Neurospora crassa OR74A: one gene and its partner. The main gene of each other region encodes a partner of the protein of the gene in region 2 in a complex. Links are inferred from orthologs where the notes say so. Each region holds a gene or a part of one and is shown on either strand. Other genes may lie near its edges.

Region 1 (3,844 bases), on a different chromosome or scaffold from region 2:
TTTCTCCGTCGGTGCCCTCGGCTGGCTTCCATGGGACCCGACGACGACGACTCCATACCTACATACCTAAGGAACTCCCCTCGCCAAAAGTCAAGTCCGCTCCGTAAGCGGTTTTGGTGTTTCTGTCTTGTGACTCCATCTTGAAGTGAAGAATTGCAGGTGAAAATGGAGACGAGTGGAAGGCTGCCGGGGAGAGACCGGCGATCTCCATCCAGCTGCAGCTTGAGCTGCGGAACATCAGTCCGGTGGACTTCTTTTTTTTCACCGCCTAAAGTTCAACTGGAGCTGTGGAAGGTCTGAGGGTCCGTTATGTACTGCGTATCTGTGAAAGTGGGGTTATATGCAAATGTTAACAACAACGAAAGTATCTCGAAGAAGATGACTTGACGTGATTTGCAGTGATGCGTGTTTCCATCACATGGAAAATTTCTTAGTCTACTCATTTGTAATAGGCCTGTAGTGTACATGAGTTACCAAGACACAGTTCTTGCTGGGATATACACAGTACACCACGGTTCTTCAGGGTGGCAAAGAAGCTTAATTTGGGCACAAGAAATAGCGACTTTGTCGAAGGCTCGCTCTCTGTTTCTTGTAGAACTACCAAGCTACCAAGTCACATCCCAGCAGAGGTGTGGTGAACGCAAATCATTCAAACAACAGTGGCCAACAGAAAATTTGTTTTAACCAAGGCCCCGGTCAACACCGACCAAAGTCAGGGATACTATGTCTCAGAGGAGAATCATTTGAAATCATAGAGAACGATCCGCTACCCATGTGGCGGCGAGTTGTGGTGGACATGGCGAGCCGTTTTCCCCTGTCGGATGTCGGAACGTCCATGGAAGCAAGGCCGCCGTATGGTCATGAGAAAGAAATACGTCTAAATTTCGAAACCACCTCCCTTTGTGACGCCGTCTGTGTAAAAATACAACCCCCCGTACGATACCATCCCTACGATACGAAAAACATGGAACTGGAACATGTCTCTGTTATAACAAACGCTCCATCGGTACAGTCCAAACCATCCACCACCTGTTCGTATATATCGTGATGTCACTGAACACCCCTGCCTGTTCTACCTGATGTTGTATTGCTTCTTTATGGATTCGCTCAGCTCTCTCGACACAATCACCTGAACTTGCTAACGATAACCGCAATGATAAGGAGGACCAGCACGGTGATGATCGCAATGGTGATTATCCGATTCGTAGCCATCCTAATGGTAAAGGCGCAAGTGGTCAGTATTACCTAATCATCATGATTCGCATTGGGACAAAAGGGGAGGGTGGTACCTGCGTGCCATGCCCTTTAGTGTCTTGACACTTCGGTCCACATAGCCTTCACTCTCGTATAGTATCGTGGTGGTGTGCTCAATGACTTCGCGTTGGCGGTGCAGGTCGGCCAGGGTGCTGGCGCCAATAGCCTCTGTCTCGGCGGCCAGCGCCTGACTGGCCTTGAGGCGTTGTGTGCTCCGATCGAGCCGGTCGGTGCCTTTTACGTTTCGGGGGAAATAGTCAGCATTCCGTTTCTTCTTGCCATGTATAAGGTGCTTCTGTCCACCACCCACCAGATAGCAGCTGCTGCCTCTGCTCAAAATGCCTATCGCCACTCGAAGAGCCCGGGTTATCGGTGTATCTGCCGCCGAACAGGGCGCTGCGGTCCGTCGCCAGCGTCTGCAGCTTGCGACGATACTTGTCCACGTCGCTTCGGTAGTCGCGCAGTCGCTTGTTGATGGCGGTCCGCGACGAGCTGGGCACGTTCTGCTTCTCCATGTTCATCTGGTCCAGCAGCTCGCCGGCCTCCTCCAGGGCGCGCTCGGCCGTGCTGAGGGCGGCTTTCCTGGGCTCGCCCGTCAGCTCCGAGATTTGGTCGAGCTTCTGGACCAGGTCGGCCTGGACCAGCTGGTATTCCGTCTCATAATGCTTGAAGAGCTCTGTGCCGGCTTCGCTGTCGAGAATGTTGGCCATCTTGGATTCAATGGAGTTATGTGTTGCTATCGGATGTGGAGGTTGGGGTTCGGGGCAGGTGTGGGGGTGCTGTCGTCGGGCTGGCCGTATCGGGGTGATGCTCGTTTATCGGCGGGTATCGTTATTCTCAATTATTCAGATTCGTCATTAATCATGCCAAAGAGGGGCGTCGTTGATGCGGTCGCGTTGGACGAGATGTGGTTGGGCTGGCGTGTGGTTGGTCTGATCGCAAGGAGTAGTGGTCGTCGTCGAATGTTGTCTGTCGCCAGCGACACCAGTGTGCTTCGAGCCCCGTTAGTCGTTGCGGTCGTCTCAGCAGCCTGACAAGCGAACTGAAAGGCAGGCAGGCCGCAGGCGGGAGACGACAGCAGCTGTGGGCACGGACCAGCATGGGCACATGACATTCCGCTTGTTACATACAGTTACAGTGGTTACAGTTGCAGCCTAGGCGGGTGACGTACACATGCTTGGCGTTGCCGCATGTATTGCAGTGTTGTTGCAGTACGTGTACGCAAGCGCTGTATGTATTGTTTGCAAAGTGTAACTTACACGGACCGTGTCCAGTTGAACGTATCAACCCCGCCTGGGACTGCCGGGGACTTTGGCGTCTTGAAACTCTTCAATTGGTTTCTTTGTATGACTGAGTTGACCTTTCACCAGCCAGCAACGAATTGAGACCGATGACGACCTAGGGAAGGGAACTGTTTTGGGGGACATATCGCTTAGAAGGTCCAGTCAACGGCCACGTCCCAAGACATGCTAAGATAATATAGTGTACACTGCCTAGACACTGTCACGGCTGCTTGACGCGAACCTTGGCTGGTTTCCCCAGAAAATGGACACATTGCCAGCCTTTTGTTTCTGGTTGGTGTCTTGAATTTTCCAAGTCTTTTTTGGGTTTGTAGTCTGTCGCCACCGATGCTTTGGGAAAATGTTCTCCTGGCAGTCGGGTCGGATTGGTCGGCAATGTTGTTTTGCGGCGCAAATAGTAGGTAGCTGCTCGACATTGCCACGAGATTTGCACCTTCTGTTAAATCATATATATGTCAGCTATGACATTCGGATTTCGTCGCCGACATCAAAACACCAGGACTGCTCATGGCCATCTGGTCCGGCCTCGTGGCACACACTTACTTACACACATACACGCACTCATACACTCTCTCTGTTGCTCGTCGTCCAGCAACACCAGGCTTCAGCCCAGCGATACCGACCCGTCTGACTAAACCTCCACCACAAAACATCCATCACCAACGGACAAATCAGCGACCCCGGTCACAATTCGAGAATTCGCTGCGAGGTTCTTCATTCGAAGGTTTGTCAGGCTGATCCACTCTCGGCACGCCATAGGATTCGCTGGAATACATCATCGCTTGGCTAGTGGAGAGTGTTGGCGACATTCACCAGGATCGAGTTACGTACCGCCGCCGCCGCCGCCGAAGGAAAAAGCCCACGCCAACGTCCGACGGTTTTGACACATCGGCGGCCGATTTCAGCGACTCACCGTTGCCGGCGTCCACCGTCATCCACCATCGGCACCGAATTGGCCCCATCTTTTTTAATTTGGCCAGGCTAGCTCAGGGCTTGGCCAGTCCCCTGCCCGCTTACCTTTACCAGGATCTAGCAGGATCTGCCGTGCGCTTCCGCCGTCGCTTTTTTTCTTCTTTGGGCGCCGCGGGTGTCGTGACCGGCCACTGGCACAGCAACACCACCGTTTCCAAACCTCTTGGAGCTCCTCGCAGCTCGGCCACGGCTTGGACCCCGTCAGTCAGAGGGGTGAGGCCAAGACACGGTGACAGTCGGACGCCAATTGGTCATCCACTTTGTTGGTGCTCCCTCCCCTGCCACTCCGAGTCTGCCCAGGTCCCCCTTGATTTGTT
Region 2 (4,533 bases):
AAAATAAGTAGAGCGTCTGCATGGTAGAGAGAATTAAATAGATGTTGAGCACGGTTCCAAGATCAAAGCCACTGATCTGTGATTTTTCCGTGTTGCTCACGGCAACAGACGTTTCGACGCATTGGCCATGAGTGTGCGCTTTGGTGCTCGTAGTCATTAATCATTTTGGTGGTAATGACTGATCGACTGTTGAGGTTGTGATCGGTGGGTCGAGGGTGTTCGAGGCTGGCCTTGCGCCGTCATACCGAGCCGAGGGCGAGTGCGGAGGCTTGAGTCACTGGACACATACTTTGCGATCCATGAACTCACTATTGGATGAAGTATTCTAGCTCATGTTGATGGACTGCATGTTGGGATGATGCTCCAGCCTTACGGTTGTTCAAACCATTCGAGGAGGCTGATATGCCAGAAAAATAAAGACAGACGGAAAAGGGGGGGGGGGGGGGGGGGGGGGGGGGGGGTTGAGGGGGTTCACCAGTTCATAACGGGCCAGAAGTGAAGCCAATAAAGAAGGCAAGGAGCTTCAGTGGTAAAAGTTCCATCAAACGAACATCAGGGATGGAAGCTATGCGAATTCCACAAGATAAAACAACAGATCGACCGCAACATCGGGTTACTTGACCATGAGCGACTCAACAGCCGGCTTGGGTCTTCTGGAATTGTGAAGGTGAGGATGAGTGTATACGGGGACTTAAGTTACGGATCAGTTCACTCTTTGAGGGACTCGCACGCGGAAACAAAACGTGACAAACACAAAGAAGCCGAATGCAGCATAAATAGACGTGAAATTTTGTTGCAGACGAGAGGCGCTGCAAGATACCCACCCCTACCTCCAATAACATTACGTGGAATATAAATCGTTTAACTGCTCATCTCCTCTTTGTGTAACTGCACACCCTTGATCTACTCCAAGGATCCCGCTTCCGTAAGTAGACGACAGCGGTTCTAAATACTCCTTGGAAAACTCCTCACACCCAGTCAGGTAATTAACCGAGCAGATCGTCCAACCCGTGGTTGCCGCCAGTGGTGGGCCTGCTACCGCTGGTCGGAGTGGAGGGCGCAGGAGTTCCCCAAATACCAGCACTACTCTTCTCTTTGGCCAGTTGTCCGATAGCCGGACCCTTGGTGGTAGGCGTGCTCTTCTTGATTCCAGCACTAGCCTGCGACCACAGCGCACCGAAGGCGTCACCGCCAGCGGCTGGCTTGGAGGCAGCTGAACCGGTTGCCTTGGTTCCTGAAAGCGAGGACCCGGTGGACTGGGTCTGCAGCTGTACCGGGGAAAAGTAGTTTGGCTGACCGGCTTGGAAGCCAGTTGGCTTGGGAGCCTGGGAGACGGGCGAAAGGGGCGTGGAGAAAGCCGAGAAGTTGGCAGCAGGAGTCGCCGTGGAGCTGGGAGGAGGAGAGATGGAGGAGAGGGCAACCATGCCGCTAAGGTTGGCCTGCTGAGGCGCCGAAACTGGTTGCGGGGCAACAAACTGTGTGCCAGTAGAGAGGGGGGCGATTGGGGGAGAAATTGCAGAAGCAGGCTGCGTGGCGGGGGCTGCAGACTGGAAATCATCGAACTCGTCGTCGTCGTCTTTGGCGCCGCCGGCTAGAGCCGCAAGCCCAGAGCCGTTGGAAGGTGCGGCAGCGAGGGGCGCGGTCGGGATGGATGGCGCTGCGGGCTCGTCGAAGGAAAACAAGTCGATCTCGGGCTCCTTTTTCTTGGGCGGCTCGGCGGGTGCTGTTGTTTTCTTGACCCCGGCTCTTTCTGTCGTGGATCGTGGTGTCCTTGGCGCGGTACGAGACGACGCCTCAGCGTCCAAATCACCTGCATCGTATTCCTCAAACTGCTCTGCCCGTGCCTGGGTCCCGCGGTAGTCGTTGTTGGAAGGCTGGCCACCAAAAACACCTCCGTCGCCATAAACTCCTCCAGAATAGCCACCGTAGGTAGAGCTGCTACCACCGCCACCACTGCTGCTACCGCCATACGAAGTGTTGCCGAAACCGCCATAACGTCCGCTGCTCCCGCTGGAGAAGCTCATTCCACCCGAAATGCCCGTGAACTTGCCCTTGTTTGCGCGGGCCTTCTTGCGCTCTGCTCGGATACGCTCGACATCGCTGAGGAGCTCGGCGAGTTCCTTGGCGCGGTTGCGGACGTTGATACCCTGGTCTTTGCCGTTCTGGTCGATAAAATGGAACTGGCGCAGCATCTTGAGGAGGGTAAGATGCGACCGAGCATCGTCCACCACTCGTTCGGAACCGTGCTTAATCAGGTACTCTAGTAGTTGAAGGGCCTTGTAGATCTGGCGCCATTCTTCGGCGGACTTTTCTGTGAAACGGCGGTAAATCATGGGCATGATTTCGTTGAGTGTTTGGCTAAGAACAAGGAGGGAAACGCAAGTTAGCCGCGTTCGTATACAAGCGAGCAGTTCTCGAGAACGTACTAGTTGAAGGTGCCATCGGCGATCTCTTGCATCAAAGTCGACGATGCACCCCAAGGTTCATTGTTGGTGGCCTCGCGCACCTGGGTTCGCTGTCAGCTCCCGTTCCATGGTCTCTTGTCTGGGATCAAGTATATGGCGAAGGGCGCAAGAGAATGGTGCCAGTGTGGCGCGTGGATACGGGCATACCTTGGACTCCATCTCGGTATAGTTCATGACAGCTGGTTGGAGCCATTGTCAGCACCCTGAACACGAAATCATGAGGGAGTCTTGGTTCTGGACTAGGTGGTCACCTACCATTTTGAACCTTTCGTACGCCAGCCTTGATGTCGTAGAGTGTCAGGTTGGACACGGTATCCTTGAGGCTATTGAAATCCATTGCGTAAACGTGTCTATCGCCGGAGTTGCTGGGAATTGTTCTGATGGGCTAAGGTAATTCTTCTCTAGATCCAATCTGAGCCTCGCGGTGATGATTGCCAGACGGGCGGGATGCTGTGGCGACTTGGTGGTTTTTGTTCGGGCTGATCGCTTTCAGGGCGACGTTTCACGGTCTTGTCGGGATCAGATGGACATTGAGGTGGCCTAGCGTCAGGGTGCCGCTGAGCGCTGACCTCAACTGACGCCGTCCAAGGCCGACCCCTGCGCTTGACCCAACACCCTGACACCAAGAAGCCAGTGGAACCCAGGAGGTCTGCCAAGACTTTGAAAGCTTGGCACGAGCGTCTCAGCTCTTTGAAGCCTGAGTTTTCAGGCAAGAATTCTGCTTGTAATTGCCGGGCCGGCCGACAACGCGGGGCGGCGGGAGGGGACGCTCGGCCGCCGGAGCTCGCTTCCATGCATTTTGGATGGAGTAAAAATTGTTAAACACCCGACCCGACTCCGTTCTCCCTCTCGTCTCAGGTCTTTGTTGTGCATCCATCGCCGTGTAGCAGATTTCCATCGTTCGTTTGTTCGGACTTTACCTTGTACTTTTAGCTTCATTATCATCCTACAATCATCCAGGATTTCATCTTCCACAACCGGTACGTTATCATTTTTACTTTTGTTGCCATGTTCTTCTTGAGCCTTTTCTGTCTAGAGGAGCTCTCCCTGCCGGCTGGGAGCTTGCCCAAAGCTCCAAGCTCTATCTGTGGCAGAGCTCTGAGAGCTTCCATTCCCGGGATTTCTTGGCATCAGATTCAATTCGAATGTCCTTTTTTCCATCCACGCTCGAGATGAGGGGTGAGGTTTGTTAGTTTGACAATACCACCACCGCCTTTTGGTCCCTACCCCAGACATGGCCATCAAGGTCGTTAATGCCGTCCATCCCTCTTGTTCGGCTTGGGGTATCGTCCATGGCTCCGCAATGTCGTCAATGGCTGCATTGACAGAGGGGGACTCCAAATGAAAGAGGCAATCGCAACGCTATGAAGACCCAACAAGCCATATGATGGAGCCATGGGTCTACGGTCCTTTGGCCCGGATGTCTTTGGATAGCTCTTGCCAGCGCTTTAGCTGCCAACTATACACACACGGGTGGTGGCAGTTTTGATTGTCATTGCCGTCAGCGTCAGGGCCGACGGGACCTTGGAGACTCGGGGGGGAAGCGCCAACACCAGATGGCAGCTGTTTACTTGTTCGTACTGGTGTTCCTGAGCCAACGAACCAATCCGAAGCCCACATGCGCCAAAGATGACACTTGCAGAGGCTCATACCACTCCACGTTGTCAAGCTGACCTGCTGTTTCGTCGTCTCCCGCCGCACTGGCAAACGAGACCGAAACAGGCGGCGTGGCGACAGGCCGACAGCTCGAGTCGCAACAATCAATCACGTGGCGAGCAGCTACGTACCTTCTCCGCCCCCCACTTCTCGGATTGGCTGACCCCTCCTTTCCATTTTAGTGAAAATGTTTGGACCCCGCCATTTCTCTGTCCTTAAGACAACAGGTTCTCTCGTCTCCTCGACTTTCTCGTCATCTCTCAAGCCCACTGCAACTTTCTCCTGCGCCAGAGCTTTTTCGCAAACATCCAGCATCATGTCCAAGGTGTAAGTCCAGCCGCTTCTCCAGGTCCGCGCAAACATGGGAGCTGCGCCTACCTACCCGTAGCTTCAGGGACACCGACTGACCTGC

The links.
Region 1: the proteins of NCU00725 (region 2) and NCU05959 are in contact, whole or in part, in a crystal structure (PDB 3ONL), measured with the Saccharomyces cerevisiae proteins. The link is inferred for Neurospora crassa OR74A from reciprocal best matches to the Saccharomyces cerevisiae genes ENT3 and VTI1. Residues at the interface, in NP_012659.1 of Saccharomyces cerevisiae: Asp53, Ser56, Gln57, Thr59, Tyr60, Asn61, Phe62, Glu64, Arg65, His100, Gly101, Ser102, Glu103, Arg104, Arg154, Arg157, Lys158, Arg161; in NP_013924.1 of Saccharomyces cerevisiae: Leu31, Asn35, Thr36, Leu38, Lys39, Glu42, Gln43, Gln45, Asp46, Asp50, Lys88, Gln92, Leu94, Val95, Asp96.

The regions. Positions count from the first base shown.
Region 1 is NC_026506.1:3,311,222-3,315,065, forward strand, and holds NCU05959 (vesicle transport V-SNARE protein VTI1), read right to left. Parts: upstream 2,282-3,844; 5' UTR 1,965-2,281; coding exon 1,565-1,964; intron 1,489-1,564; coding exon 1,290-1,488; intron 1,214-1,289; coding exon 1,126-1,213; 3' UTR 716-1,125; downstream 1-715. UniProt on the Saccharomyces cerevisiae protein: t-SNARE found in various SNARE complexes involved in multiple transport pathways. The composition of the t-SNARE complexes is specific for a limited number of v-SNAREs and therefore allows only the vesicles carrying the matching v-SNARE to fuse.
Region 2 is NC_026501.1:7,405,107-7,409,639, reverse strand, and holds NCU00725 (epsin-3), read right to left. Parts: upstream 3,028-4,533; 5' UTR 2,803-3,027; coding exon 2,721-2,802; intron 2,645-2,720; coding exon 2,613-2,644; intron 2,507-2,612; coding exon 2,427-2,506; intron 2,359-2,426; coding exon 987-2,358; 3' UTR 691-986; downstream 1-690. Other genes in the region: csr-1 (peptidyl-prolyl cis-trans isomerase), read left to right, coding at 4,309-4,448. UniProt on the Saccharomyces cerevisiae protein: Involved in the recruitment of clathrin to the Golgi network and endosomes to form clathrin coated vesicles. Plays a role in the trafficking of clathrin between the Golgi network and endosomes.